Linked DNA regions of Xenopus tropicalis. The protein of the gene in region 2 purifies or fractionates together with the protein of the main gene of each other region. This does not show direct contact. Links are inferred from orthologs where the notes say so. Each region holds a gene or a part of one and is shown on either strand. Other genes may lie near its edges.

The links.
Region 1: the proteins of araf (region 2) and bag2 purify together in Homo sapiens (affinity purification with mass spectrometry; 3 studies listed by BioGRID and IntAct, with this or other methods). This does not show direct contact. The link is inferred for Xenopus tropicalis from reciprocal best matches to the Homo sapiens genes ARAF and BAG2.

The regions. Positions count from the first base shown.
Region 1 is NC_030681.2:95,340,227-95,356,861, reverse strand, and holds bag2 (BAG family molecular chaperone regulator 2), read right to left. Parts: upstream 10,625-16,635; 5' UTR 10,509-10,624; coding exon 10,381-10,508; intron 6,273-10,380; coding exon 6,163-6,272; intron 3,237-6,162; coding exon 2,833-3,236; 3' UTR 2,696-2,832; downstream 1-2,695. UniProt on the Homo sapiens protein: Co-chaperone for HSP70 and HSC70 chaperone proteins. Acts as a nucleotide-exchange factor (NEF) promoting the release of ADP from the HSP70 and HSC70 proteins thereby triggering client/substrate protein release.
Region 2 is NC_030684.2:1,501,889-1,518,480, forward strand, and holds the start of araf (serine/threonine-protein kinase A-Raf), read right to left. Parts: upstream 10,657-16,592; 5' UTR 10,546-10,656; intron 6,518-10,545; 5' UTR 6,466-6,517; intron 6,184-6,465; 5' UTR 6,177-6,183; coding exon 5,928-6,176; intron 5,853-5,927; coding exon 5,749-5,852; intron 5,671-5,748; coding exon 5,568-5,670; intron 3,889-5,567; coding exon 3,731-3,888; intron 2,572-3,730; coding exon 2,491-2,571; intron 2,400-2,490; coding exon 2,261-2,399; intron 1-2,260. UniProt on the Homo sapiens protein: Involved in the transduction of mitogenic signals from the cell membrane to the nucleus. May also regulate the TOR signaling cascade. Phosphorylates PFKFB2.

The DNA.
Region 1 (16,635 bases), on a different chromosome or scaffold from region 2:
GTTGGAGTTGTGCCCACTTTTTCTTACCTTGAGTCGAAGTCACCCAGTGACAAACAGTGGGCACCCTGGCATAAATAGTGTGAGAATGACAGCATTTTATATTGAAACCAATGAAATTCAATGGATGAAATCTGATTGGCTGTTAGTGGCCCAAGCCACTTTTCCTATTTTTGAATTTTGAACCCCCCCGTGACCAACTTTGCAAAGTTTGGGGACTCAACCAGTGTGACTGACAGCATTTTACAGTTCACCATTGAAAGTAAATGTGATTGGCTGTTGGTGGCTCCGCCCACTTGTTCTAACCCTTAATACGTGGTCAGCCAGTGACTGACTGAAAAGTTTGGGAACCCTGACATAAATAGTGTAAGAAAGGCAGGATTTTAAATTTAAACCAAAGAAATTCAATAGGTGAAGTCTGATGGATTGCCTTGGGCAACATTATTGGTAATGCCACATGAAAGGGCCACATAAAACAGCCAGGTGGGCCGGATTTTGCCCCTGGGCCTTGTGTTTGACATATAGGGTTTAGAACCTAAAAATGCAGTCCCCTAGTGACCCTGGTGTTAATACTGTGAGAATGGCAGCAGGTTGAATTTCCCCATTGAAAATCAATAGTTAAAATTTGATTGGCTGTTGGTGACTCTGCCCATTTTTTCTAACTCTGAACTGCAGTTACCTGGTGCCTAACTCTCTGGGGACCTTAGTATTAATATTTAAAGAATGGCAGCAGTTTAAATTTAAACATATGAAGTCTATAGGTGAAATCTGATTGGCTGCTGCTGGTCCCACCCACTTTTCTAAACTTGGAACATAGTCACCCAGTTAGAAACTGTGCAAAGTTTGTGGACCCTGACATTAAACGTGAGAATGGCAGCAGATAATATTTTCCCATTGAAAACAATGAAAGAAATGTAATTGGTTTTTGGCGGCCCCACTTATTTTTTCTAACTTTCAGTACGAGGTCACCCAGTGACTGACAAAGTGCAAAGTTTGGGAACCCTGGCGTCAAACCAATAAAATTCAATAGGTGAAATCTGATTGGCTGTTGGTGGCTCCGTCCACTTTTTCAAAATTAAAACTGCAGTCCCCTAGTGACCAACTGTGAAAAGTTTAGGGACCCTGTTGTTAATACTGTGAGAATAGGAGCTGGTTGAATTTCCCCATTGAAAGTCAATAGGTTAAATCTGATTGGTTGTTGGTGGCTTTGCCCACTTAAAAAAAAACTTGAATATGTAATCACCCAGTGACTGACTGTGCAAAGTTTGGGAACCCTGGCATCAAACCAATAGAATTCAATAGGTGAAATTTGATTGGCTGTTGGCGGCTCCACCTGCTTTTTAAAAACTAAAACTGCGACCAACTGAAAAGTTTGGGGACCCTGGTGTTAATACTGTGAGAATGGAAGCAGGTTGATTTTCCGCCAAGTCAATAGGTTAAATCTCATTGGCTGTTCACAGATCCACCCACTTTGGGGCATCCAACAATCATCATATTTCCATTCAGGCTTTCCTCATGACTATGTGATTCAAGATTGTGGAGTGTAGCCTCAAAGCTGTAACATTGGCAGCAGTTTCAATTTTCCCGTAAAAGTCAATAGGTGAAATTTGATTGGCTGTTGTTGGCCCATCCCACTTTGACTCATCCAACAAATGCCGCTGTTTCATTTGGGGTGACCTCATGATTGTTATTCAAGTTTTTGGGGGGTGTAGCTTCAAAGCTGTAAGAGTGGCAGCAGTTTGAAAATCTTCCCTGTCAAAGTCAATGGGAAAATTGGGGTGTTCAGAGCGGCGCCACAAAAAGACGGGGGGCGGGATTGCTTAGAAAACCACAAGCAACCTGCTCCGCTATAGGGCGAAGAAGTGTGGAGAGATTTAGTGTTGTACCCCTAAAACTGTAGGAGGAGTAGCGTTTAGAAAATAAGGGGCACAAAGAAGAAGAAGAAAAAGCGGAAGAATACGCTGAATTCGAAGAACAGTATGTTCGGTTTTCAACCCAACATAATAATATAAAATAAGAAATATAGGTAAGACCCACAACCTGCAGGTTACCCGCTTTTCCTGACCTTCTGTAGGTGCAGCAGAGGATGAGAAGTAAAGAGAAGCCATAGCCACTGCAGTTCTGATAGTTTGCACTGTGTAACTTCACTAATGTATCTGTCTATTCTGGCCAAAAGCCAATCAGTCAGATAGCACCGGAGGTCAGACAGTGTATAGCCGCCTTAAGTTGCAAAATTCTGAAGGGGATATATTTTGTTCTAGTTCCTAAATTAAACCTTTGAAAATGGCCTCTGTAGCTCCAGGAATTTTGATTTATCAATTATATGCCCCTGCTTCTTTTTTTAAATGCATTACCTGTGCCAAACCGTTACTGGAACTTTTCACTGGCACTAGCTTGTTCTTAAAATCTTAAGACAACAGAAACATACAGTGCATTCCAAAAATTATCCAGACCCTTGGATCTTTCTCTTATCTCTGTTATTTGTATTTCAAAGCACTTGCACTTGTTAAGGAGTGATTTTGGCCCAGTCTTCAAAGCAGATTTGACCCAGGTTAAGTTATACTGAATAACATTTTGTGCACAGCAGTATTTGTTATTTAGTAAAATGAGATAATCGATCAATTTGTTAGTAAACTGCCGTATAGAACTATAGGTATTTAAAACTATATCTGTTGCAATTCAACACAAACCCAGGACGAATGATATGTGAACATTTAATTAAAGGTGAATTTAAATATGGTATCAGTAGATTTATACCATTTAAATGTCTATCTTCCTGTTTGCAGTTCTTGCAATATCCTTGCAAAAGAAAAAGTAGAGGGTCAGTCCGGAGATTTACAGGTTCTTGGTGTGAATCAAACTAAAAGCAGATTTCTGCCTCTGCTGCTCAAGCAACGTGATTGACTTCTCCGAGTTGTCTATATTCCGGATAAGGGTCTCCAGCCTTCTTTTTATTCTTTTTTGGTCCTCTATTGCACATCCAATAATTATGGACTGAAACTTCTGGTCTACTGGTCCTGCTGGAACTTCCGAGCTACAAGCTCCATACAGTCCCATTAACTGTTTCCTGCCATTTTCCAGGTTGTCCATGACTTTTTTCAAAATTTCATCAATAATCATGCTGGCCTGTTGTAGAGAGGATTCCTGTTGGGGGTTTCTAATGGTTTCTACAGCTACTGCAACAGTAAGGGTGCGGCCCATTAGACGTTCAGCTGTTACAAGTAGTTCTTCTCTCTCCCCTTTAAACAAAAGGCAAAATATACAAAGATTTAAGAATTTCATAGGATTTTTTAGAGCTTAAAGGAAATGTACAACCCCGACAAAAAATGTAATCAGTGAACAGTCTCTTTGAAATCATTAAATACCCGCTATTACGATTGTTCAAAGGTTAATTGTAAGGCTGATGCATCCCTTTACTTGGAATTTATTCACTCCTGTAACCCACTTGGCCCCCTCACTTAGGAACTGACTTTGGCTCTTGGCTTACTGAGCATGCTCAGTTTTTCTCAACTCAGGTTACCAAACACACCCTCCAGTCTAGCAGCCAATGAGGAGATGGCACAGCTGGATTTCCAGAGAAACTCGGCTCTAGCTCTGCACTCTGCTGGAGACACATTTTTCTTCTAACCTCCTTTCCTGAGCTCAGTTTACCCATTACAGTGCCCAATCCAAACAGGACTTTTTACCACAGGAAGTTCTACCTTTGTAAGTCTGCATTTTTATAGCACCCATGTGCTGTTTGCAGATGTAAATGTCACTGAAGATTTGTGAGAGCGAAAGTAGCTGCTGGGTGAAAGCTGCTATTTGTTACAGGAAAATGTGCTGGTGAATGGAGGGGGTATAGATATATAGATATTGTGAGAGAAATGCTGGGTCTTTTTTATTTACAATAGACTGGCATGGCGATGAGCTCTAATGTGGCCCCCTCATACGCCAATTTATATATGGACTCATTTGAGTCTGAATTTATCTATCCTCACTATATGGACAATGTATTGTTATACTGTAGAAATATTGACGATATCTTGATTCTATGGCGTGGGGGCCACATTGGAGTCAAAACGGTCGTTGCCAGTCTTAATACTCTTCCTACTCCTGTAAAATTTACTTCGAATTATGCTAAAGATATGATTGATTTTTTGGATGTTAGGATTTTTCGTACACCTATGGGAGTGGGTACTACTTTGTATCGTAAAGAGACATTGAAATACAGTACTCCATGCCCATAGTTTCCATCCTCCATCTGTGATTAAGTCCATTCCTTACACGCAATTCCTGAGAGTGTTTAGGATTAATACTGACTTTGCAACTGCATCACAGCAAGCCTATGAGATGTGTGACCGTTATGTCGAGAGGGGATACTCTTTGGATTTCCTCCACAGTGAAATGGAGAAGGCGATCAAGATGACACAGGATGACTTACCAAAAGCTTCACTAAACAAGACACAACTAGATCGGATGGTGTTTATTACTGACTATACACCAGGGAGTTACGGTGTTAATATGATACTTAAAAAGCATTGGCCCATTTTGCAGTTAGACTCTGGTCTACCATTTACCCATATGTCTCCTCCAGTGTATGCGTATCGCCGGGGTTGCTCGCTTAGAGACTTGCTGATGGTGACTGATTTGAAACATGAATCATCTGGAACGTGGCTGAAACCTGGTAAACCTGTATGTTTCAAATGCGGTGGTTGCAAAACGTGTGGCTGTTTAATCACAGGCACTACATTTGCTCTGCCCCACACTGGGAAAAAATTCTTGATACGGCATAGATTGACTTGTACCTTGGATCATGTCATCTATTGCATTATGTGCCCGTGTGGCTTTTACTATATAGGAAAATGTGTTACATCTTTCCCCACACAAATGAACAATCACAGATCAGTGATCCGTGCGGCTTTGGCTACTGGTAAGTCTGATATTCCACTTGCAAGGCACTTTACACAACAGAAACATTCGTTGCCCATGTTAAGGGCTAGTTTGATTGATCATATTCCCCCTTTATTGCGTGGTGGTGATTTCTAAACTACTACTACAAAGGGAGGCTCAATGGATTCGAAGGTTGGATACTATTGCTCCTCGTGGACTCTGACTCTGATATATAGTATATTATTCACTTCTCTAACTTTCCCACAATGGGAGATGGTTTGAGTATTTTGTTTTTCACTATCGGGTTATCCCCGCTCTCTATTGGCCCCCATATTTATGTTGATATTATTGATGATCGTGCTTTTAAAAAAATCATGTGTCAATTTTTGTTACTGATGTAATGTATAAATGTTAACTATATTTATGATGCGTGAGTAGGTGCTCCATAGATGGTGTTATGAGAGAGGGGGGTTTTAACAGTGATTTTTAATCACTTAATTGATATAATACTTACAGACTCTTGGATTGAACATGCTAATTGATTGGGAGCACTGATTAGTTCATGTTATGTGTGCACTTCACTTCCTTTCCCTATCCTGATGACGATCCTGTGGGGGTCGAGACGCGTAGATGCGATGATTGAATAAACGGACTGTTTATATATCTATTGCCGTGAGTGCTTTCTACATATGCACTCTGTATTTTTTGGTTAGCACCCGGCCGATATCTATGGAGTGGTGAGTGCCGATTTTTTGTAGACTATATATAAATTTTTTTTTATTTTTTTTTTGCAATACAAATGGTGTGGTTTGGGTGGGGGAGACATGCCCAACTTATATACATGGTAAATGTCCTTTAAAATACTGAAATTATATAATCTTTCCTCCAACAGATACACCATTTTGCATTTACCAACATTTGTGTTTTTGTCTCAGTAGGTCTTTCTGGGTGTGTTAACCTTGGGGTGGGAAAGGGAACAGATGGCCAGTCACTCTTATCTGTAACCGAGGTATGTGACAGGAGAGATGGAAGAACTTAAGGCGTATCTTCCATTTGAGTGAGGCCCACTGTTCCTGTCAATCTCTCCCCCTCCAGATTCAGGGTTAACAGCTCTAAGGCACAAGCATCTGCTATAGTTAATCCTTAGAGGCACATTTATCAACATTCAGATTTTAGTGTTTTTTTGAAACCACAAATAAAATGATATCCACTAAAACCTGCAATGTTGAGTCATTTATTAAAAAAATGGTAAGAATCATGGATTCGTTATCTATAGAGATGAGTAGGCCTTACCATCACTGATCGTCCTTATGTCATGACTGTTCTGCACGCTGTGAATCTTTTCTATCAGAGACTCCCTCTCCAGCTCTAGGGCAGAGGCTGCATCACGAAAGGCTTGGACCCTGCAAGAGTGGGAAAACTACATAATGTCACTATTCCTTTGCACTATTCATTCAGCAGAATCTGTTTCTCGCCATCATATTTGAAACCTACAAAAGCTTTGCCATAAAATTTTTATTTAATATGATGTTCAGGTATGGGACCTGTTATTTAGAATGTTTGGGGCCTCGAGTTTTCTGGATAAGTGATCTTATCGTAATTTGGATCTTCATACCATAAGTCTGTTAAAAAAATAAATGTAAACATTAAATAAACTCAATAAAAGTGTTTTGCCACCAATAAGGATTCATTATATTTTAGTTGGGATCAAGTACAAGGTACTATTTTATTATTACAGAGTAAAAGGAAATTATTTTATTAAAATAATTTTGAATTATTTGATTAAAATGGGGTCTATGGGAGATGGCCTTCCTTTAATTTGGTGATACTGGTGTATCCCATACCTGTGTAATCTCTGCAGAAAATGATCTCCATGGACCTTTAGCTATCTGAAAATAGCCTACTTTCCCTTGTCAGCACGTTACTGCTTTCTGTACACAACCCAGCATTCTGCTAAAGTTCCATTGGAAACATGTCAAAAGCAACAAAGAACTGGCAATGATATTTACACTCAAGCAACAGATAAATTGGGACAACCTCCCATGGGCTCCAGCATGTAACAGTTAGTGGGACCCGTTTATCAACACTGGTCAAACTTATCCCTGGCAGTTACCCGTGGCAACTTTTATTATTCTACTTGCAGCTGTCTGAAAAAAGCTACTCACTGATTGGCTGCTATAAATTCCTGCCCAGGTGTAAATTTACCCAGAGTTGATAAATGAGGACCACAGTAGGTCTGTGGCTGGAAAGCCTACAGCTTTATTAATTTGGCTGATATATCAGACGGTGATGTGCCTATATGTGCAACTGGGCAGTTTTGGTGAGCGTGTATGGAGCTGCTCTGGGGAGCCAAGAGAAGTAGCGTTCCCATAATAATAATGGGTTAGTTATTTTTGTTTTTGCTTATGCTGCAGTAAGGGGAATGAAAAGAACAGACATCCAGCGTGCCAAGGAGGAGGCCCCAAATACCTATCGACCCTTTATGTGGCCAAAAATAACCAGGAGTAGAAAAACAAAGACAGATAATGTCTTAAAAAAATCTCAGTCTATTAAAAATTGAGTATTTTCCAGATGCTTGTTTGAATTTTTGTTTCCTTTGAACATGTGACTAAAAGGATCTTTGGGCATTAATGTGGATTTCAGAAAAATTAACCATTACTCACGCATTCCACTTTGTGGCTTGTGGCATAGGGAACACTTTAAAGCTTTTTTCTTTTTGGTAATTATCTTAAACTGAACATCTATTATTCCAAAAAGCTGAGGGATGATGCAGAAGGAATATATTCTCCCAAACCATTCGTCATACTGCAGAGTAAGCAGTAAGTTTGACCGCTACATAAATGTTTCTTAATGAATTGCACTTAGGGAAATAACCATGCTGCTCTCAGTTTATGGCACTGGATAGAGTAAAAGAAACAGTGTGACTATTCTATGCCTGGCCTTCAACATCGCCAGTCGTTAGTGCTTCCCTCTGGCCTGCTACATCTCACCCTTTACTGGTTTCATGTTAGAGGATTATTGCATAGAATTATGCTAGGAATGGAGATAAGGAAGGTTGCTGCCAAACAATTAAAGGCAAACATGAGGGAAATAGTTATGTTTTAGCTCTATTTTCATTACAATCTAAGTTTTAGTTGGTCTTTACAGTTTAAAGTTTTGCTCCTGCTTATTGTTTCAATTACAAAATGGAAAAAATGTTCATGGATCACTCCTCTGAAAGACCCTCTCCCTTATTTGTGTGAGAACAATCAGCACAAACGTGGGGAAGGTCTAATCATACAGAGTTTGTACACAAACAGTACACATCCTATTCAGCCATGGCAGCTATGTGATGTGGATTGATTCCCACTGACATGAAAATTAAGTTCCACATTACACATTTACTGCCAATTACTGTGCAAAAACGTGTACCAAATTAGCCTTAGGTTGGTGCTACATTCTGCAAGATAGTGCTGAGGATTAGAGCTCAGGGTAATAATATACAGGTGCCTTCTGTGACTTGTGGGGACTTTTTAATTAATGAGAACAGCTATGGGTGTTTCAGATGTGGAAATAGCCTGCATGTGTCATTACACTGTGTGCCATAGCCTGTGGTCATCTGTTTAAAGTTGCATCAGAAGTGGCACAGAAATACAGAAGTGCAACCTCATCATGTAAAAAAACTGCATGCATGTTTGCTCAATAATAAATATCACTTGGGTTGAAAATACATTGTGTATTGTTTTAATTTAAAAAATCCATATTTTCCTAATTCTTTCCTACTATAAAGTACTAATGGAAAATTATGTTTTCTTCCTCTTGTAAATAGGGTAATTATTTTAAATGGAGATAGAGGTTTTTTTTTTTAAATCCTTCATAAGCTGCAGCCTAATTATAAGTAGCAGTTCAATATGCTAGTAATTTGTTCTACTATTTACTTCTTCTCAAACAGTCTCATAAGCCCAGTGTATTGGGGTTAACTACAACCCAGAGCTGAGGCAAGTAGTGCCTCCCTTTAGTTCCAACTGATAGTCTACTGTCTAGCCAGTCTACTGGCTTAAACACTGAAACTTACATTCAAATATAAGGGTATTTTTTTTGAGGTACACTACCCACTTAAATTATACTAAAATGCACCTTGCTCCCTATAACTATAGATCAACTAAAGACCCAAACTATCTATAACTTTGGTATTTGTTATTAGAGGGATGTTTTCCAAAAAGCAGTGGTGTAACTATAGAAGAAGCAAACCCCATGATTGTGACCTACTTATTAGCGAGCAGCGGGGAACGGGGGACGCAGTGCCAACTGGACCCCTCTATGTAGTGCAGTGACTAGGGGTGTACCTACCAACATGTTTGCATCTGGAAATTCAGTCCCAGAATCCATCACTGAATGAGGTAATGGAGGGGTTGCCTTGGTAAATGGTTCTTACAAATAACATAGCTTCCCTTTCAATCTGTAGAATCAGTGAGATTAACCTGTGACATTACTTTTACAAACTATATAACTGCAGCCACTCAACATTTAACCACCTGGCCCAGTTGGGTACCTAGCAAAAATGTAGTGTATAACCAGGGCTGCTGGCAACACATGACTGTCTGTGCAGGGCACTGCAGACTGTGAGTGTCCATCAGTAGTTTATTGTCCTCTGCTCACAGCAACTTGAAATGGGAAAAAATGTATATCCTGCTGATTTGCCAACAATACCTGCCTCCACAAAGCCTCTGCTTCCAATATTAAAAGTAATTTTCTTAACTCACCATAGCTATTTATTGTGTCAGGTAAGGGATAATTCACTTTTATTCCTGATGAGTTGCCAGCTATACCTACTGCCACCACAGCCTCCTGCCTTCTGTCCACAATATTTCACCAAAAGTGCAATCAATCTTTTTTTTCTATTCTAAGAGCTCCTACTTGCGCCAGGAAACAATACACACTTTATTCCTGGTGATTTGTCCCTGGCCAATATTTGACCAAAAGAATGCATAATCTTTTTTTCTCAGCTCAGAGCTCCAACTTGTGCTGGGAAACAAAAAAATATGCCTACTTTCTGGTAAGTTTCCTACAGTATCCAGAGCCACCAAAGCCACTGTTCAGTTGGGTTATATATATATATATATATATATATATATATATATATATATATATATATATATATATATATATATATATATATATATATTACACAAATATATGGCATTCCACAGACTGTAGAAAACTATTTTCCTACAAAATAGGAACAAAACAAAGGCTAGGCCAAAAGTACTGTAAAGATATATCGACCCTGGAGCGCAGAATATAGTTTTGCTGCCATATGACTTTGTAACAAGTTGACTTTTGCTTATGCTTTTCAGTCAGGCTTTCCCTCAGTAGTGCATATATATTGGGCAGGACTGGGAGATGTTATACTGTATGTATCCATAGGGAACACGTGTAGTCAGGCACCACAGGGCAGGGCAGCAGGCAGAGCGCACAGTAAGGGCATACACAGGGTACATATTATAGACATCATTCTGCTCGCTTCCTTACCTGACTTCCAGATCGTCCAAAATCTCTAACAGGTGGTTGGATCGAGCTGCCATAGAGACAGAGCGGCAGAACTTGCCTGCATTGTGCCCTTCGGTGGCTGCCTTTGCCTGGATTTTAGCCTGAGCCATAATAGCTTGCGGACTCTCCCTTCCACAGAAAAAGCACAACTGAGCAACAGAGGACAGTGAAATGCTTAGATCTTTCTAGACATCTCTCCCTCCTCCTCCTGCACTCTCACCGGGATAGAACAGCAGGATAGTGTAACATTGCCTAACATGGGCTTGGGCGGCTCCCGGCCCTGCACTAACTGTCAGCTGCTTCACTTCCCTGCCCCCAGCTGCAGCTCAGCTGCCTAAGGGACTGATTTTATGGGGCTTTGGGGGTCTCGAACTTCCCTAACCTGCTTTCCCTGTTGTTTATAAACTGTGCTTACACCCCTCCAGATGTTCAATCACTCATTCTCTGCTGCTGATCATATATATAATATAATGTACCTACTCTCATTCAACTGTTCATTCACTCACTCTACTGCAGATACACTGCCTGTTCTGCTCATATTTACACTGTACACTCAAACCATTCATTTCATTTATAGCCTACTGTATGGGTCCTCCCCAACCAAGGGACAGAGCCTGCTTATATTAAGGGTGAAGACACACTGGGCTACTAGTAGCAGATATTTTTTCTCAGCTACTAATCTCCAGAAAATACCCTGCCATAGACAATACTGAAAATTGCCTCTGCTAAAACACACGTAGAGACGGTTATCAGTAAATGGTCAGCATTGTCTTTTAGTAGCCAGAATGATGATATTGTACGAAACCTCATATGGGAGGGGGGTTATGTGAGTCGCAAACACGCATGTGCATGGGGAATAGAGATGTAGCGAACTGTTCGCCGGCGAACTAATTCGCGCGAACATCGGGTGTTCGCAAGTCCGCAAATTCGCGAACTTTTCGTGATGTTCACAATTTGGGTTCGCTGGCACCGAAAAAATCGCAAAACTTACAATAACGTTACGAATGCTCCGAAAAAGTCGCAAAACTTACGATAACGTTACGACTGCTCCGAAAAAGTCGCAAAACTTACGATAACGTTACGAATGCTCCGAAAAAGTCGCAAAACTTACGATAACGTTACGAATGCTCCGAAAAAGTCGCAAAACTTACGATAACGTTACGAATGCTCCGAAAAAGTCGCAAAACTTACGATAACTTTACGAAAGCGCCGGAAATTACGAAAAAGTCGCAAAATTACCGATCATTTCGAAAAACGGCGTGTGTCAATTTTTCAGAGAAGTTTTTGCCCTTGATCCCCCTCCTGCATGCCACTGTCCAGGTCGTGGCACCCTTTAAACAACTTTAAAATCAGTTTTCTGGCCAGAAATGGCTTTTCTAGGTTTTAAAGTTCGCCTTCCCATTGAAGTCTATGGGGTTCGCAAAGTTCGCGAACAGGTTCGCAAACTTTTTTTTTGAGGTTCGCTACATCCCTAATGGGGAATTTAGGGCCACCCCACCGCACTGAAAATCAGCTGCAACTCCGGCCATTGCAAGCTTCACTGGTATTTTTTTCTTATTAAGGGTAATGGTACATGGGAAGATTATCATTGTTTGTAGCTCCAGAAATGTATTGCACTTAGAGATTGGGAAAAAATCTATAAATCTCTTCCCCAAAGTAAATGGGAAATACTGCGATGATGCCTTGTTCTGTCTAGTGACAGGTTTGTATCAATGGAAAATGCAGAGCCACATGTTTCATTCATATGTGGTTAGCAATAAGCAGAACAAGGCAAGATTGTGGCATTTCCCATTCACAGGGGAGGGTGATTTGTAACACTAAACCCTTCCTGCAATGCTCCTACAGGGGACTTTGTACTTACTTATACTCTTAGGTAACAACATACACACCACCAGGAAGCCCCAGTTGGCAAGCATCCAGTTTTGGGCACAATCAGCTGTCAGGGTCCTAAGGAAATTTCTGCCTGCTTCAGGGAAATGCAAAACTATGGGAATTAGTATTGGCTGATATATAAACAAGGAGATAGAGTATAGGTAACTACCTTATGTGCTGTTTTTAACTATTCACAGAAAATTAGCAACAAAACGGTGTAAAATATGGTGAAATAGATTAGCCCTACACTTTCCTAACTTGTTTCTGTTGCCTTTTTTTCCCAATGGAAAGCAATGCAAGGGTCAGAATGAGTACAATACACACAATAGGGGCGTATTTATTAATACTGGAGACAAACATCACCGGTGATGTTGCCCATAGCAACCAATCAGCAATTAGATTTGAATGGTCCTCTACAAGTTAAAAAAACAAAAGCAAAGATCTGATCATCGGTGATGTTTGTCTCCAGTGTTAATAAATGCACCCCTACTGTAAGTTCTGAACTTCTATTTCTGTTAAGTAACAATGTTAAGATCATATTTTATAGAACAGCTTACGTGTTACAGAAAACAGTAAACTTTAACCTACAATTTTACAAGATTTTTACTGTTAGCTGGATGAGGCATATTGCACAACAGTGATAGCAAGCCCTTTTATGCAGTCACCTGCTGCTACTTACATTCCAGCTCATACCATTATTGCTCATACTCATTCAGGCATTAGGGAGTTAAAATCTACAGCTATTGGTGTTTTGGTGCCAGAGTGTTCCTTATCAGGACAGCGTTTGTCATTGTATATACTGTTTTCCCCATATGTAGGGTTACTCTGTAGCATGTAAAACACTTCCTTCTTTGCAGTTTCCCAGACTTTGTACAGTGTCACATTGCCTTATTTTAGGGACTGCTGTCAGGTCTTTTATTTTTTGTTTATGAACGTTGTGGTTTGCAATAATGTGGGTGCTCTTAAAGTGATATTTTTATAGGCATGTGTGGAAAAGTGCATGACCTGATCTGGAAGGAGAAAGCAATTTTGCAGCCTTATTGCTGCAGTGAAATAAATGAGATATTGGATGACAAACCTTGGTGGGGAAACATAACATTATAGTGCAAGTTTAAATTGATGATTATTAGTCAGTGTTAGAACTATATGCACCAATTAGTAAAAAAAAAAAAAAGTCGACAGCAGTTCTGTCATTCCTTCCAAAATAAACTGAGCTACCCTTGGTATGAAGAGAGAGCCATCTTGGTCATAACAGCCTTAATAGCTTCACCATTTCCATTAAAAACAGGCCCTCTTCAGAAAAGTCACATTAGCCGCCTGTGCCTCCATTGTGAATTATGTGGCAGATTTGAGTTTGCTCCATAAATTATACAGGGCCCGCCTTGTGTCTTCTGGAGTGCTCATGGAGAATAGTGGTAACAAACTTACTTCTCGACTGTTTGCACGCCTGTTTTAGAGCAGTAATGGCAGTTGTCGTTGGAGGGGGTAATATTGAGTATTCTCTGAGCACGGATCTACAAAACACCTAAAATGGCATTACCCTAAAGTTTACCACTTTTTTAATACTAAAAACACGTGAAACTGATAATTGATTAACTTGCACTGATGTACTACAATATATTCCATATCTCTTCCCTGCCCCCCTCACAAACATTTCCACTTTTGCAATTTCCAGAGCAGATACCTCAATGCAGTTTTTGAATAGAAGTATATTGGGGGAACTTCCATTTTAATGCAGGACATCAGATACATTCCAGCTGAAAAGGGATTCCATTCCCTCTGCTGTAAAATGGTTGGGAACAATCCTTTCCATTAAAGAAGAGAAGCCCAATAGGCTGTGAACGTAAATATGGTCCTACCAGGAATCTTAAAATTTAAATTCTTCTTAAATTCCTGCATCACCTGACTTTCTTTTCCCTACTGAACCGTTTATAGCTTTTATAGCATAAAGCTTACAAAAAAATAAAAAAGATAAACAAAATAACACCAGTTTGGCATAGTGCAGGATAAAATACACAATCTGTCCTTAAGGTGGCCATACACAGTAAGATCCCTAAGGTGGACAATATCGGACTAATTGAAGTTAAACCAGCAGGCAGAGGCACAGTCGAGGACTGAATTGGATTGTTGGTTGGACAGAATATCAAACCTGCCCGATCAAGATCTGGGCAATTTTAGGCTGGGTAGGCCCAGTGGGGGGTGCCCATACATGGGCAGATAAGCTGCCAAATCAGTCTAAAGGACCCAAATTGGCGGCTTAAATTTGTATGGCCACTTTTAGGTTATTCATTCCTTCAACCCTTTTATAATGAAAACTTTTCCAGGTGTTGGATGATTAAAGGGATATGTTTTATTCTTTAGCAAAAGAAAGTCCCTCCTAATTGATAAATGTAGTAAATGGCAGCTGAGCAGATAATTGGCTTCATGAAATGATTGCCCTTCCCATTTCCTACACAATACTTGAAATTGATTATAATTAGCAAATTACAACAGCAAAATGGAAAGACTGGGGGTAGGAAGCCGGATACTTTTTAATATATATTTTTCTAATTTCTTACCTATAGTCCTCTGCAAAACAAGGCACAGGCTTTAGTACATTCAGTGAATGTGTGATTAAAAGTTGTATCATCTTTGAAGTTCACCTAAAACAATCTGGGTTAGAAAGGCTCTAAACTGGAAAACAAAGCCATTACAATTCACATCTTGCACAACTCATTTTTTTCATATACTCACTGTATTCATTTGGATAGAATGGCAAATGCAGACTGGAGTTGGGTAAAATGCACTATAAGGGCTAAACTACTCGCTGAGTGTGACGACTATTATTTTCAGTATTTTTTCATTGATAATCTTCAGAGAATCTAAATTAATAGTCTTCAAAGCAAGTTTTTTTTTTTTTTTTTACATATATATCAACATATACTAATACACAGATAGGTAAAATCTAAGACAAAAACTTTTTAAGTGTCCCTGCAGTCAAATTTCAGGGAAAAGACAAAAGAACAAAAAAAGAAAAAGGACAATCACAGATTTGAAGAAAGAATCAAACAAAGTAATGTATTTGTTCCTGCTTTTTTACATCTCCATCATACTACTTCTGATAGCTTCTTTCAAATTGTCATCTGTAAAATAAATGAAGCTTTAAATACCTCTTTTGGCAACAGTTGCAGACATTACTACTCCTCATAATACCCAAGGCAATCTTCAAAACAGCACTTTTGTTTTTGGCAAAATGCATTGTAAATATGCTATTTAGCTAAATTAATGCCATACGGGGCTGATTCTCTTTGCTGCTTTTTTTACCCCTACGCTAGCATAGGCTTACTTCCTACTCCTGCACCTGGAACCACTGCATTGGCCAAGGTGCAGGCACATGTGGTAGATTTTGGCAGGAAACGCATGAAATCTGATGCGCATGCTTGCACCCAGGCTGACACAATGGTTCTATGTGCAGACAAGAAAGAAGGCTGATGTCAATGTAGGGCCCGATTCCTGGCTGGCATTTTTTTTACCGTGTGCCTTAGCACAAAAATAGATAGATTTTTTATAATTCTAACATTTTAAACATTACTTGTTTACATGGACACAGGTAAAATAGTATTACAGGTAAAATAAATTTTTGTTTTGTTTTTTGGTTCTTTAACAGACATAATTTCCCCCACTGGATTTAGGTCTGCCAGATTGGTCGGGAAATGAGTATATACAAATCCAACAAACCTTAATCCAATCCTGTAAGTTTGGCTTCTGTGTTATCATTTGCATCTGTAGAAATGGTGGAAAGCAAAATGTAAAATATAATATGAATATATGGTATGAAAGATCGTTCCTCATTTTATTACTAGAAGTTTTTGACTCTAAAAAGATGTTTAATACTCTTTTAACACTACACTTTTATTGTTTTTGCTATTATTAATACTCTCTAGCACTTTGTCTGCTATTAAGGAAAATATGACAAACCAGCTAAGCACACTCCTTTAAGGCCTTATACAGTCTATGCTACAATTCTGTAATTCTAGTTTTATGCTTATCAGTATAAAACTATTCCGGTAGTTTCATGTATAGGCAATAAGCCAACTCCTGCTCCAGCTTTGCCCCTGCCTGATTCATCTACCATTTATAAACTATACACCTATATACAATTACTCCTATCCATATAAACAGATTCTCAAATATATTGTGCTGTGCCGAAGAAGGAATAAATTACAACCTTGAATCAGATGAACATTTAACAGAACATTGTATTCAGATTTTTTGAAAGCATGTTGATGTAATGCCTAGCTCTGAAGGAGCAGAATCGATACTAAAAGAAAAAAATCTCAGGATAGTGTCAGTCCTAACTGTTGTAATTTGATCAGCCAGAAGTGT
Region 2 (16,592 bases):
ACAGTTTCAGAGAGGGAGAGAGACAGAGACACAGAGCGAGAGGGAGAGTTTGAGAGACACACACATACAGTGTGAGAGACATATAGTTTGAGAGAGACAGTGTGAGAGAGACACAGAGGCCATGATTGGCTGACATATACACACAATGGGGGTCATGTATCAGTAATGGGCAAATTTGCCCACAGGCAGTAACCCATGGCATCCAATCAAATTGTTGCACTCATTGTTCTACCTGCATCTGGCTGGAAAAAGCAAATCACCGATTGGTTGCTATGGGGTACTGCCCGGGGCAGGCATAAGCCTTGAATGAAACATCTCACAGAAATGGCAGGACCCCAATTATAAATCTGCTGGGGGCGAATTAAACATCTCTACAATAAAGGGGGGAGGCTGGGGGTCCATATAAGTATTAAAAAAATGATAGGGTCGGAGTCAGACTGTAATGTTAATGAGGGAAGAGTCAGGGCAGGCAGTGCAGCCCGCGGCGGCAGCAGGGTCCATAACTGCAACTTCTGGAGAATCAAATCAATGTTATGGGGGGGGGGGGGGCAATGATAAGTGACATTTCTCAGAAATGAATGGAAATGCGTGATATGAGTTAGATATGGGCCCCTTGTGTCTGTGACTGTTACCCCTTGGGGGCTGCGCCGTTAGCCCGGTGTCCTGTAGCCGCTACAGTTTATCCACATTAATAGTGAGAAATATAATAACCAACCCCCCCCCCCCCCCCCAGTACTTACCCAGGTACAGAGCTCTGATTCTCTGTACTTCCTGCTCCTGGGCTGCTCTCTTTCCCATGGTCAGGCAGGAACCTCCCCCTGGGTAAGTGAATCCAATCTCCCCCCAGTACTTACCCAGGTACAGAGCTCTGATTCTCTGTACTTCCTGCTCCTGGGCTGCTCTCTTTCCCATGGTCAGGCAGGAACCTCCCCCTGGGTAAGTGAATCCAATCTCCCCCCAGTACTTACCCAGGTACAGAGCTCTGATTCTCTGTACTTCCTGCTCCTGGGCTGCTCTCTTTCCCATGGTCAGGCAGGAACCTCCCCTGGGTAAGTGAATCCAATCTCCCCCCAGTACTTACCCAGGTACAGAGCTCTGATTCTCTGTACTTCCTGCTCCTGGGCTGCTCTCTTTCCCATGGTCAGGCAGGAACCTCCCCTGGGTAAGTGAATCCAATCTCCCCCCAGTACTTACCCAGGTACAGAGCTCTGATTCTCTGTACTTCCTGCTCCTGGGCTGCTCTCTTTCCCATGGTCAGGCAGGAACCTCCCCCTGGGTAAGTGAATCCAATCTCCCCCCAGTACTTACCCAGGTACAGAGCTCTGATTCTCTGTACTTCCTGCTCCTGGGCTGCTCTCTTTCCCATGGTCAGGCAGGAACCCCCCCCCCTGGGTAAGTGAATCCAATCTCCCCCAGTACTTACCCAGGTACAGAGCTCTGATTCTCTGTACTTCCTGCTCCTGGGCTGCTCTCTTTCCCATGGTCAGGCAGGAACCCCCCCCCCTGGGTAAGTGAATCCAATCTCCCCCAGTACTTACCCAGGTACAGAGCTCTGATTCTCTGTACTTCCTGCTCCTGGGCTGCTCTCTTTCCATGGTCAGACAGGAACCTCCCCCTGGGTAAGTGAATCCAATCTCCCCCCAGTACTTACCCAGGTACAGAGCTCTGATTCTCTGTACTTCCTGCTCCTGGGCTGTTCTCTTTCCCATGGTCAGACAGGAACCCCCCCCTGGGTAAGTGAATCCAATCTCCCCCCAGTACTTACCCAGGTACAGAGCTCTGATTCTCTGTACTTCCTGCTCCTGGGCTGCTCTCTTTCCCATGGTCAGGCAGGAACCTCCCCCTGGGTAAGTGAATCCAATCTCCCCCCAGTACTTACCCAGGTACAGAGCTCTGATTCTCTGTACTTCCTGCTCCTGGGCTGCTCTCTTTCCCATGGTCAGGCAGGAACCTCCCCCTGGGTAAGTGAATCCAATCTCCCCCCAGTACTTACCCAGGTACAGAGCTCTGATTCTCTGTACTTCCTGCTCCTGGGCTGCTCTCTTTCCCATGGTCAGGCAGGAACCCCCCCCCTGGGTAAGTGAATCCAATCTCCCCCCAGTACTTACCCAGGTACAGAGCTCTGATTCTCTTTACATCCTGCTCCTGGGCTGCTCTCTTCCCACTGGCAATGTAAAGAATGTGCTCCCTCTAGTGGCCAAAGTGTTACCTAACATTAGATGAGCCCCAGTGAGTTATTAGTTAGCTGGGGGGGCAGTACCTCAATGATGGAGTTATCCACGGGGCCCGTGGTGCTGTCAATATGAACGTTGGGGGTGGAGGTGGAGCGGTGCCGCTGCAGTGGCTGTCCCTCACCAGGAAATGAAAAGGAAGCGCTTCCTGGGTGCTGAGTCCGGGGGCTGCGAGAGGGAGACATGGAATGGAATGGGAACCAGGGAGAGCGAAATGAAGAGGAGAAGATAATGGGGGCCATGACACAGCCGGCGTTACCTGGGGGGCTGGGGGCTGAGGGGTAAGTGGACAGTGGGATGTTCATAGTAGGACTGGAAATCTTGATAACTGAGAGGCGTCCTAAATAAAGAGAAAATAGGATTATTCCACTACTAGCGCAGGGGGAGGAGCATAAACAGGAAGAGACACGAGGCCAATCATACGCAAGGGAATGAATGGGAACGTGAAACACCAGCCAATCACAGCAGAGAATGTGACAGTAAATGGAGTCAAAATTGGACAAGGTCATAACAACAGGGAGGGAGGCAAGAGGGCATTCTGATTGGGAAATGAATAAGCCAATGACCAGTATGCGGGGTGGGGGCCATTTGCATATTCATGAGAAATCAATTAGTACCCGGGTATAGCTGCAAGGGGGAGGAGCAAAAGACTTCCCCCCATATGTACTAAAAGGCACCCCATTTGCCCTGGAGCAGTAACCCATAGCAACCAATAAAAAAACAGGTGACCAGTAAATGCTGCCTGCCGATTGGTTGCTATGGGCGATTAGATTGGTAGCAAACTTTGCTCCTTCCGTTAATAGATATGGGGTCTGTGAATATGGTGGGAAATCCGCCAAATCTGTCTTAAAGGGGCAGCTCACCTTTAATTTAACTTTTACTATGTTATAAATGGCCAATTTTTAGAAACTTTTCAATTGGTCTTCATTATTTATTCTTAGTTTTTGAATGATTTCCCTTCTTCTTCTGCCTCTTTGCAGCTTTCAAATGGGGGTCACTGACCCCGGCAGCCAAACCCTATTGCTCTGTGAGGCTCCAGTTTTATTGTTACTGTTACTTTTTATTCCTTATCTTTCTATTCAGCCCGTCCCCTATTCATATACCAGCCTCTCATTCAAACCCCTCCCTGGTTGCTAAGGTCATTTGAGCCCTAGCAACAGGATAACTGACCCCGGCAGCCAAACCCTATTGCTCTGTGAGGCTCCAGTTTTATTGTTATTGTTACTTTTTATTCCTTCTCTTTCTATTCAGCCCCTCCCCTATTCATATACCTGTCTCTCATCCAAACCACTGCCTGGTTGCTAGGGTAATTTGGACCCTAGCAACCAGATAGCTGCTGAAATCCCAAACTGGAGAGATGCTGAAAAAAAGCTAAATAGTTGAAAAACTTCAAATAATTAAAATAAATGAAGACCAATTGCAATTTTTTTTAAAAAATGTCACCCTGTAGGAGTTAATTGAAAGCACTTTTGGCGGCGAGGGCGGCCGCTCTTACTCACAGGGGCTTGGGCAGCTTGGCCATATCCACGCAGGCCGTGGGCACCTTACTGCTGCAGTGCTGGTGGAACTTGTAGCCGCAGGTCTGGCAGCGGAAGCCGTGGAACAGGAACTTCAGGCAGAAGTCGCAGAACGCCAGGGTGAAATGGGTTTTTCTCACCTGAGGGACAGAGAAATGGCGGATTATTATTAAAGGGGAACTTCGACTTCCGAACCGAAATCACATTTTTATTAGGGATGCACCGAACCCCCGAACCCACCCTGAAAGATTCGTTCGAACCCACCCTGAAGGATTCGGCCGAACCCCCGAACCCACCCTGAAGGATTCGGCCGAACCCCGAACCCACCCTGAAGGATTCGGCCGAACCCACCCTGAAGGATTCGGCCGAACCCCCGAACCCACCCTGAAGGATTCGCCGAATTCCAAACCCACCCTGAAGGATTCGAAGGCCGAACCCACCCTGAAGGATTCGCCGAATTCCAACCCACCCTGAAGGATTCGCCGAACCCCCTGAAGAAGGATTCGGCCGAACCCACCCTGAAGGATTCGGCCGAACCCACCCTGAAGGATTCGGCCGAACCCACCCTGAAGGATTCGGCCGAACCCACCCTGAAGGATTCGGCCGAACCCACCCTGAAGGATTCGGCCGAACCCACCCTGAAGGATTCGGCCGAACCCCCGAACCCACCCTGAAGGATTCGGCCGAACCCACCCTGAAGGATTCGGCCGAACCCCGAACCACCCTGAAGGATTCGGCCGAACCCACCTGAAGGATTCGGCTGACCCCCCTGAAGGATTCGGCCGAACCCCCGAACCCACCCTGAAGGATTCGGCCGAACCCCCCCTGAAGGATTCGGCCGAACCCCCGAACCCACCCTGAAGGATTTGGCCGAACCCCCCCTGAAGGATTCGGCCGAACCCCCGAACCCACCCTGAAGGATTCGGCCGAACCCCCCCTGAAGGATTCGGCCGAACCCCCGAACCCACCCTGAAGGATTCGGCCGAACCCCCGAACCCACCCTGAAGGATTCGGCCGAACCCCAAACCCACCCTGAAGGATTCGCTGAATCCCAAACCCACCCTGAAGGATTCGGCCAAATCCCAATCCCCAACCGAATTCAGTGCATCCCTAATTTTTATACACTGAAATGTATCATCATTTAAAATCCAGACAGGGGAGGAGGGACTAAAACGTTGATGTTACGAATTGTAACAACTTCTCCACAGCTTACAGACAGCAGGCAGGAACTACATAGCCCACAATGCATTGCTCTGGGGTGTCCCTTTCCTTATTGACATCATGTGTGCAGCAGGGGATTGTGGGATTTGGAGGCTGAAGACTTAAGGTGGCCATACACCTTCAGATTGGGGGATATCGGGATAAGATCCGCTCACTTGGTGACATCGCCAAGCGAGCGGATCTTCTCCTGATATCCCCCAACTACGGGTGGGCGATATCAGGAGAATCCAGGTTAATTTGATCGTTTGGCCCTGGGGCCAAATGATCGAATTATAACGACGGGTATAGGCGGTTCGGGGACCGTATCAACGAGCCGATGTGGTCCCCAATCCAACTAGATCTTTTAAACCTGCCCAATCGATATCTGCCCGATTTCAGGCCAGATATCGGTCGGGCAGGCCCGTCAGGGGACCTTTAGGACAGTAGTCAGGAACGTAGTCAGCGGAACAGGGGGCGGGGCTTAGGGAACCGTTCCAGACCCACATTAGTACATTGAAAATCAGGAAAAAGCGGAATGTTTTTTAATAAATGTATATTGCAAAGTTGTGTTTGGGTAAAGTTCCCCTTTAATTGAAGGTTAATATTGCAAGCGGCTTACGAAATTGTGCATGGACAGGGGGACGTCGGCCAGGACCTCCACCATCAGCTCCTCGCCCACTAGGGGGGTGATGTCCGTCTCCCAGTCGGTCAGGGCTTTGCGGCTGCAAAGGGAAACACAATGGGCGCTACAGAGCGAGCGGGACAGACGTAAAGCGTAGCCGCCATGCTGTGCCACTTACCCCTGTATGAGCCGATACACCGCGCAGCATTCCTGGCTCAGACCGCGCACTTTCAGTGCCTTATCCAGAGAGTCGTACACCGTCATGCCAGGGCGCACGTTTACCTGCCGGGCACAAGGGAGAATGGGCACAAAGCCGGCAACGGGCACAAATGGCGGAAACATAGGCCGGAGACTCACCACTGTCCTCTGCTGGTTGGGAAGATACACTTTGACGGTTCCCCCGGACTTGCCCTCCGCGTGGGGGTACTCGCTGACTGAGGCTCCCCGGCTGGGGCTTTCCTGCTGGGCGGGCACCCGAGTGCCGGGGTTGGGCAGCTCCAGGACGGCGGCCGACAGCATCACGGCGCTCCCCTTGCCCAGCTCGCGGGAGAGGGAGTGCAGGGCCCCGTTGGCGAGGGCCCCCGGCGGGGTGTGAGAGCGCTTCATTGGCACCCTGGCACAAAGGAAAGCGGATTCGCCGTTACTGCGCCCCCCCCGATACCATTTGGTGGGAGAATCACACAGCAGATGGGCAGGGAAGGCAGCCATAAACACACAGCGAGGAGGAGGAGGAGGAGGAGGAAGGGGAAAGCACAACCTGCTGCTCACACTCCATTCCCATCTTCCTCTTTGGTATTTTGATTAAATAAAGGCAAAAGATATGGCGTTTACTACCCCCCCCTCTTATATACACCCCCCTCCCCGGTATACCCACCCCCCGGTATACCCACCCTACCTCTCTCCTCAGGCCCTCGGCCTATGGCGACGCTCAGGGGGAGATCCTTCTCCTATGGGGAAAATCACAGACATCAGATGCTTTCCTTAGTGCTAAGTAACACTGGTTTGTCCCTCCTGGGCTCCCGTAGCAGGGCCATTATTAGTATTCCTCTCCATTAGTCACTGCCCCCAGCAGAGCTTACAATCTAATCTACCTGCCCCAATTCACTGCAATAAATCTGCCTCTCTCCAGCCTGGATTTGGATTTATTTAGAGCCCCGTAACATGGAGGCAGTATAATAATGTGACGGCGGTGCCCCCCAAACACGTAAATAGGGGACTTGGCCCGTAACAGAGCCGGAAGCGGAACCGGGTCAGTAAGTGCAGATAAGCTGGGGATAAACTGATAGTAGGAGCATAGACTAAACACTGGCAGTGACAGGCACCGGCGGCTGCGGCACAATATCAATATTTACTGGTAAATGAGTAACCGGGAAACCAGCATTCCCATAGGCTCTGGTTAGCCCCGCCTCCTGCGCCAGGCTCCAATAGGGACACAGCTTTCCCACCCGGGGTATCCACAGGCACTTACACACCTATATATAACCTTACAATGGGGGGATCAGATAGGATCTGTGCCACTGTGACAGAATGCTCTGTTATACAGATAGCTAGAATCTCAGCCATAAAGCAGGGCAGGACTGCTGCTTACAATGGGGGGATCAGATAGGATCTGTGCCACTGTGACAGAATGCTCTGTTATACAGATAGCTAGAATCTCAGCCATAAAGCAGGGCAGGACTGCTGCTTACAATGGGGGGGGGATAGGATCTGTGCCACTGTGACAGAATGCTCTGTTATACAGATAGCTAGAATCTCAGCCATAAAGCAGGGCAGGACTGCTGCTTACAATGGGGGGGGATCAGATAGGATCTGTGCCACTGTGACAGAATGCTCTGTTATACAGATAGCTAGAATCTCAGCCATAAAGCAGGGCAGGACTGCTGCTTACAATGGGAGGGATCAGATAGGATCTGTGCCACTGTGACAGAATGCTCTGTTATACAGATAGCTAGAATCTCAGCCATAAAGCAGGGCAGGACTGCTGCTTACAATGGGGGGATCAGATAGGATCTGTGCCACTGTGACAGAATGCTCCGTTATACAGATAGCTAGAATCTCAGCCATAAAGCAGGGCAGGACTGCTGCTTACAATGGGGGGGATCAGATAGGATCTGTGCCACTGTGACAGAATGCTCTGTTATACAGATAGCTAGAATCTCAGCCATAAAGCAGGGCAGGACTGCTGCTTACAATGGGGGGGGATCAGATAGGATCTGTGCCACTGTGACAGAATGCTCTGTTATACAGATAGCTAGAATCTCAGCCATAAAGCAGGGCAGGACTGCTGCTTACAATGGGGGGGGATCAGATAGGATCTGTGCCACTGTGACAGAATGCTCTGTTATACAGATAGCTAGAATCTCAGCCATAAAGCAGGGCAGGACTGCTGCTTACAATGGGGGGGGATCAGATAGGATCTGTGCCACTGTGACAGAATGCTCTGTTATACAGATAGCTAGAATCTCAGCCATAAAGCAGGGCAGGACTGCTGCTTACAATGGGGGGGGATCAGATAGGATCTGTGCCACTGTGACAGAATGCTCTGTTATACAGATAGCTAGAATCTCAGCCATAAAAGCAGGCAGGACTGCTGCTTACAATGGGGGGATCAGATAGGATCTGTGCCACTGTGACAGAATGCTCTGTTATACAGATAGCTAGAATCTCAGCCATAAAGCAGGGCAGGACTGCTGCTTACAATGGGGCGGATCAGATAGGATCTGTGCCACTGTGACAGAATGCTCTGTTATACAGATAGCTAGAATCTCAGCCATAAAGCAGGGCAGGACTGCTGCTTACAAACAATAAACACACCGGGTGGGTATTGGACCAAACCTCCTCTCAGGTGATGTCACAGCCCAGACCCTTTGGTGACATCATTACCTGCCCCCCCAAACACCCCCACAGGCAAAGGTACAAAAATCCCGGTGGGGCATCAGGCCAGGAGCGGACAGGAAAGGGTGGGTTGGGGTCGGACTCTGTATTGGTTATTACTGTGCCACTAAATACCCCCCCCCGCCCTTTAGCAGAGAAGGTCTGTTGCCCCCAAAAAATGCCCCCCACCTTCTTTTCTGCTGTCATTTAGCTGAGTTTAGGGGCCCACTCACAGTGACAATAGTATATTCTGGGGGGGGGGGTAATACTGGGGTGGGGGGGGCATTATAACACAGTGGGGGGCAGTGACAATAGTATATTCTGGGGGGGTAATACTGGGTGGGGGGCGCATTATACAGTGGGGGGGAGTGACAATAGTATATTCTGGGGGGTATACTGGGGGGTGGGGGGGCATTATACACAGTGGGGGGGGAAGTGACAATAGTATATTCTGGGGGCGTAATACTGGGGGTGGGGGGCATTATACACAGTGGGGGAGTGACAATAGTATATTCTGGGGGGCATTTACACACAGTGGGGGGTAATACTTGGGGGGGCATTACACACAGTGGGGGGGTAATACTGGGGGGCATTACACACAGTGGGGGGTAATTGGGGGGCATTACACACAGTGGGGGGGTAATACTGGGGGGCATTACACACAGTGGGGGGGTAATACTGGGGGGCATTACACACAGTGGGGGGGTAATACTGGGGGCATTACACACAGTGGGGGGGTAATACTGGGGGCATTACACACAGTGGGGGTAATACTGGGGGGCATTACACACAGTGGGGGGGGTAATAACTGGGGGCATTATACACAGTGGGGGGGGCATTACACACAGTGGGGGGGTAATACTGGGGGGCATTACACACAGTGGGGGGTAATACTGGGGGCATTACACACAGTGGGGGGTGGGCATTACACACAGTGGGGGGGGGCATTACACACAGTGGGGGGGGCTTACAAACACACAGTGGGGGCATTACACACAGTGGGGGGGGGGCATTACACACAGTGGGGGGGGGGCATTACACACAGTGGGGGGGGGCATTACACACAGTGGGGGGTAATACTGGGGGCATTATACACAGTGGGGGGGCGCATTACACACAGTGGGGGGTAATACTGGGGGGCATTATACACAGTGGGGGGGGGCATTACACACAGTGGGGGGTAATACTGGGGGGGCATTACACACAGTGGGGGGGTAATACTGGGGGGCATTACACACAGTGGGGGGGGCATTACACACAGTGGGGGGGGGCATTACACACAGTGGGGGGGGCATTTACACACAGTGGGGGGGCATTACACACAGTGGGGGGGGGGCATTACACACAGTGGGGGGGGCATTACACACAGTGGGGGGGGGCATTACACACAGTGGGGGTAATACTGGGGGGCATTACAAACAGTGGGGGGGGGGGCATTACACACAGTGGGGGGGGGCAATTCCACAGTGGGGGGGGGCATTACACACAGTGGGGGGGGGCATTACACACAGTGGGGGGGGGCATTTACACACAGTGGGGGGGCATTACACACCGTGGGGGGGCATTACACACAGTGGGGGGGGGCATTACACACAGTGGGGGGGGGGCATTACACACAGTGGGGGGGGGGGGCATTACACACAGTGGGGGGGCATTACACACAGTGGGGGGTAATACTGGGGGGGCATTACACAGTGGGGGGGTAATACTGGGGGGCATTACACACAGTGGGGGGGGCATTACACACAGTGGGGGTAATCTGGGGGCATTATACACAGTGGGGGGGTAATACTGGGGGGGCATTATACACAGAGGGGGGGTAATACTGGGGGGCATTACACACAGTGGGGGGGTAATACTGGGGGGCATTATACACAGTGGGGGGGTAATACTGGGGGGGGCATTATACACAGAGGGGGGGTAATACTGGGGGGGCATTACCACAGTGGGGGGGTAATACTGGGGGGGCATTATACACAGAGGGGGGGTAATACTGGGGGGCATTACACACAGTGGGGGGGTAATACTGGGGGGGGGATTATACACAGAGGGGGGGTAATACTGGGGGGCATTACACACAGTGGGGGGGGGCAGTACGTACCTGGGAGAGAGGCCGATACGGGAGGGAGGGAGGCAGAGCGGCCGCTACACAGGCTCCAACTTCTCTCCCCACAGCCCAAGTCTCATCTCGCGAGAGTGGCGTCACGGCCGCACGTAACTGGTGGGAGTGACGCATCACGTAATGCCTTGTGGGCGTGGCCAGTCGGCGTAAGGCGGGGTTATACGCTGGGACAGTACCGGGGAGGCCGCCATCTCCGCTGTTCCCTCAGTTTCCCGTTTCATTAACAGTCATTTCTGTTTCCGGGGTGAAAATAACAACATTTCAGCTTTTTGTACTTTCAGTCAGTTACAGTAACGCTCAGTGTTTATAGAATGGCCGCTTCTAAGCAACTTTTCAATTGGTCTTTTTTCTTTATCTTTCATTGAATTATTTGCCTTCCTGTTCTGCCTCCTTATTATTGTTATTGTTTATTCCTTCTCTTTCTATTCAGCCCCTCCCCTATTCATATGTCTCTCAAACCACTCCCAGGTTGCCAAGGTAAATTGGACCCTAGCAACCAGATAGCTGCTTAAATTCCAACATTTAGTAGTAAAATGATTCCTAAGCTACAAATAATAGAGAATGAATAGTTAACTGAAAGGGCAACACCCCCTTTAATGAAAAAGACTAGAAATTAAAGTGAATTAAACACGGAAACAAAACGGGTCCCAAGCGATTTCTCCCCAATAATTATATCGCCCCCCCCCCCCCCCGTAATTACACTCGGATTGATTGTCTGTGGCGGGGGACCGGGCATTTGGGCAGATAGGGAGTCGGGGGGCTCAGGTTCTTGGGGGGACCGGGGATTCTTTGGCCGCAGTAGAGAGTCGGAGGGCTAAGGTTCTTGGGGGACGCGGGGCATTTTGGCCAGGTAGGGAGTCAGAGGGACTAAGGTTCTTGGGGGACCCGGGCATTTGGGCCCAGTAGAGAGTCGGAGGGGCTAAGGTTCTTGGGGGGCCGGGCATTTGGGCCAGTAGGGAGTCGGAGGGGCTAAGTTCTTGGGGGACCGGGGCAATTTGGGCCCAGTAGGGAGTCGGACGGGCTAAGGTTCTTGGGTGGGACCGGGGCATTTGGGCCCAGTAGGGAGTCAGAGGGCTAAGGTTTTTGGGGGGACCGGGGCATTTGGGCCCAGTAGAGAGTCGGAGGGCTAAGGTTCTTGGGGGGAGCCGGGGCATTTGGGCCCAGTAGGGAGTCGGAGGGGCTAAGTTCTTGGGGGACCGGGGCATTTGGCCCAGTAGGGAGTCGCGGGACTAAGGTTCTGGGGGGCCGGGGCATTTGGGCCAGTAGAGAGTCGGAGGGGGTAGGTTCTTGGGGGGACCGGGGCATTTGGGCCCAGTAGGGAGTCGGTAGGGCTAAGGTTCTTGGGGGGACGGGGCTTTGGGCCCAGTAGGGAGTCGGAGGGCTAAGGTTCTTGGGGGACCGGGCATTTTGGCCCAGTAGAGAGTCGGAGGGGCTAAGGTTCTTGGGGGACGGGGCATTTGGGCCGTAGGGAGTCGAGGGCTAAGGTTTTGGGGGACCGGGGCATTTTTGGCCAGTAGGGAGTCGGAGGGGCTAAGGTTCTTGGGGGAACCGGGGCATTTGGCCAGTAGGGAGTCGGAGGGGCTAAGGTTCTTGGGGGGGACGGGGCATTTGGCCCAGTGAGAGTCGGAGGGGCTAAGGTTCTTGGGGGACCGGGGCATTTGGGCCAGTAGGGAGTCGGAGGGCTAAGGTTCTTGGGGACGGGGCATTTGGGCCAGTAGGGAGTCAGAGGGACTAAGGTTCTGGGGGACCGGGCATTTGGCCAGTAGAGAGTCGGAGGGCTAGTTCTTGGGGGACCGGGGCATTTGGGCCTAGTAGGGAGTCGGAGGGGCTAAGGTTCTTGGGGGGACCGGGGATTTTGGGCCCAGTAGGGAGTCGGAGGGGTCTTGGGGGGACCGGGGCATTTGGGCCCAGTAGGGAGTCGGAGGGGCCTAAGGATTTTGGGGGGACCGGGGCATTTGGGCCCAGTAGGGAGTCGGAGGGCTAGGTCTTGGGGGGACCGGGGATTTGGGCCAGTAGAGAGTCGGAGGGGCTAAGGTTCTTGGGGGACGGGCATTTGGGCCCAGTAGAGAGTCGGAGGGGCTAAGGCTCTATGGGGGGGACCGGGGCATTTGGGCAGTAGAGAGTCGGAGGGGCTAAGGTTCTTGGGGGACCGGGGCATTTGGGCCCAGTAGGGAGTCGGAGGGGCTAAGGTTCTTTGGGGGGCCGGGCATTTGGGCCAGTAGGGAGTCTGAGGGGCTAGGTTATTGGGGGGACCGGGGCATTTGGCCCGTAGGGAGTCGGAGGGGCTAAGGCTCTTGGGGGACCGGGGCATTTGGCAGTAGGGGAGTCGAGGGCAAGGATTTTGGGGGGAACCGGGCATTTTGGGCCGTAGGCGCTGGAGGGGCTAAGGTCTCTGGGGGACCGGGGCATTTGGGCCAGTAGGGAGTCGGAGGGGCTAAGGTTCTGGGGGACCGGGGCATTTGGCCCAGTAGGGAGTCGGAGGGGCTAAGGTTCTTGGGGACGGGGCATTGGCCCAGTAGGGAGTCGGAGGGGCTAAGGTTCTTGGGGGGACCGGGGCATTTGGCCAGTAGGGAGTCAGAGGGTAGGTTCTTGGGGGGACCGGGCATTTTGGCCCAGTAGGGAGTCAGAGGGGCTAAGGTTCTTGGGGGACGGGGCATTTGGGCCCAGTAGGGAGTCGGAGGGGCTAAGGTTCTTGGGGGACCGGGGCATTTGGGCCCGTAGGGAGTCCGAGGGGCTAAGGTTCTTGGGGGGACGGGGCATTTGGGCCAGTAGGGAGTCAGAGGGGCTAAGGTTTTGGGGGGACGGGCATTTGGGCCCAGTAGGGAGTCGGAGGGGCTAAGGTTCTTGGGGGACGGGCATTTGGGCCCAGTAGGGAGTCGGAGGGGCTAAGGCTCTTGGGGGGACCGGGCATTTTGGGTCGCCAGTAGAGAGTCGGAGGGCTAAGGTTCTTTGGGGGGACGGGGCATTTGGGCCAGTAGGGAGTCGGAGGGGCTAAGGCTTTTGGGGGACCGGGGATTTGGGCCCAGTAGAGAGTCGGAGGGGCTAAGGTTTTGGGGGACGGGGGCATTTTGGTGGCCCAGTAGGGAGTCGGAGGGGCTAAGGTTCTTGGGGGGACCGGGGCATTTGGGCCCAGTAGAGAGTCGGAGGGGCTAAGGTTCTTGGGGGGACCGGGGCATTGGGCCCAGTAGAGAGTCGGAGGGGCTAAGGCTCTTGGGGGGACCGGGGCATTTGGGCCCAGTAGGGAGTCGGAGGGACTAAGGTTCTTGGGGGGACCGGGGCATTTGGGCCCAGTAGGGAGTCGGAGGGGCTAGGTTCTTGGGGGACCGGGGCATTTGGGCCCAGTAGGGAGTCGGAGGGGCTAAGGTTCTTGGGGGGACCGGGGCATTGGGGCCCAGTAGGAGTCGGAGGGGGCTAAGGTTCTTGGGGGACCGGGGCATTTGGGCCCAGTAGGGAGTCGGAGGGCTAAGGCTCTTGGGGGGACCGGGGCATTTGGGCCCAGTAGAGAGTCGGAGGGCTAAGGTTCTTGGGGGCGACCGGGGCATTTGGGCCCAGTAGGGAGTCGGAGGGGCTAAGGTTCTTGGGGGACCGGGGCATTGGGCCCAGTAGGGAGTCGGAGGGGCTAAGGTTCTTGGGGGGACCGGGGCATTTGGGCCCAGTAGGGAGTCGGAGGGGCTAAGGTTCTTGGGGGGGACCGGGCATTTGGCAGTAGAGAGTCGGAGGGGCTAAGGTTCTTGGGGGACCGGGGCATTTGGGCCCAGTAGGAGTCAGAGGGGCTAAGCGTCTTGGGGGACCGGGGCATTTGGGCCCAGTAGAGAGTCGGAGGGCTAAGGTTCTTGGGGGGACGGGGCATTTGGGCCCAGTAGGGAGTCGGAGGGCTAAGGTTCTTGGGGGACCGGGGCATTTGGGCCAGTAGGGAGTCGAGGGCTAAGGTTCTTGGGGGGACGGGCATTTGGCCCAGTAGGGAGTCGGAGGGGCTAAGGTTCTTGGGGGACCGGGGCATTTGGGCCCAGTAGAGAGTCGGAGGGCTAAGGTTCTTGGGGGACCGGGGCATTTGGGCCCAGTAGGGAGTCGAGGGGCTAAGGTTCTTGGGGGACCGGGGCATTTGGGCCCAGTAGGAGTCGGAGGGGCTAAGGTTCTTGGGGGGACCGGGGGCCCAGTAGAGAGTCGAGGGGCTAAGGTTCTTGGGGGACGGGGCATTTGGGCCAGTAGGGAGTCGGAGGGGCTAAGGTTCTTGGGGGACCGGGGCATTTGGGCCCAGTAGGGAGTCGGAGGGCTAAGGTTCTTGGGGGGACCGGGGCATTTGGGCCCAGTAGGGAGTCGGAGGGGCTAAGGTTCTTGGGGGGACCGGGGCATTTGGGCCCAGTAGGGAGTCGGAGGGGCTAAGGTTCTTGGGGGGACCGGGGCATTTGGGCCCAGTAGGGAGTCGGAGGGGCTAAGGTTCTTGGGGGGACCGGGGCATTTGGGCCCAGTAGGGAGTCGGAGGGGCTAAGGTTCTTGGGGGGACCGGGGCATTTGGGCCCAGTAGGGAGTCGGAGGGGCTAAGGTCTTGGGGGGACCGGGCATTTGGGCCAGTTAGGGAGTCGGAGGGGCTAAGGTCTTGGGGGGACGGGGCATTTGGGCCCAGTAGGAGTCGGAGGGGCTAAGGTTCTTGGGCTGGATTCCCGGGGGCTATTTGGGGGGACCGGGGCATTTGGCCCAGAGAGAGTCGGGGGGCTAAGGCTCTTGGGGACCGGGGCATTTGGGCCCAGTAGGGAGTCGGAGGGCTAAGGCTCTTGGGGACCGGGGCATTTGGGCCCAGTAGGGAGTCGGAGGGGCTAAGGCTCTTGGGGGGACCGGGGCATTTGGGCCCAGTAGGGAGTCGGAGGGGCTAAGGCTCTTGGGGGGACTGGGGCATTTGGGCCCAGTAGGGAGTCGGAGGGGCTAAGGCTCTTGGGGGGACCGGGGCATTTGGGCCCAGTAGGGAGTCGGAGGGGCTAAGGCTCTTGGGGGGACCGGGGCATTTGGGCCAGTAAATAGATTGCACTATGGCCCCTCCCTGCACAAACTGGTAACTCATAGTATTTGTGCTGTGAATAAGCTTTGGGCCTGACCCACGAGTTCTGAGAGCCCGGTGCTGTTGCCCCCGGTTACACTGATCCAGAGGCGCCAGGCCCCTGAGTGCAGAGAAGGGTTGGGGGGAACCAACCTACGCGCTGGTACCGAAGTGAGTGGTTTCCCCCTAGTGGAACATATTGGTACTGCAGCCGTACTGTAATAATGACCTCATCACCAACAGCCCCTTGCCGGCCAATCATTTCCATCTTACAGAATGAATTTACATATATTTGCATTTGCCCATCCCTATAGGCTGTGTATCTCCCTAATGAGCCCGTTAGAGAGTAACGGGGGGGAAGTCGCACCAGAGTGTAAGGAGAGGGGCGGGTCCTGCTCACAAGAGCTTACAATCTGGTGCTCACCCCCCTGACCTCCATGTGTGAGGGGTTTCACCCAGCCTTACCCTATGGGGCTAATCTGTACCTGCCCCAACATTGGCCGATATGTACATGCCCCCCCCCCCGTGCTGTGTGGGATTTCGGGGTGCGCCTAATCGCTATGTTGGGGATTCGCCCAAACCTGGAATCTTTCCAGAAGGATTTTGGAAGAATCCAAACACGAACAAAGGGGGGAAAGAAAGAAAAAAATGTTCAATCACATGATCTAAAGTCACATGGTTTTAAGGGTTCGGTTTGGCCAGGCGCTTGGATTTGGCTGGGGTCGAACTGGGGCCCCCCAGTTGCAATGTCAGGGTTCTGTCTATTGGGCCCCACCGCCATTTTCCAGGGTCTATGCCAGCTTGCCAGGGAGATCAGCCAAGCACACAGTGTTCCTCTTGGAATGGGGTGTGTGGCCTAGCTGTGATGGGGTGATGGGGTTGCCACACGCTATTCAACACATACATGTTCGTAGGCAGACACATACATGTTCATAAGCAGACACATACATGTTCATAGGAAGACACATACATGTTCATAGGAAGACACATACAT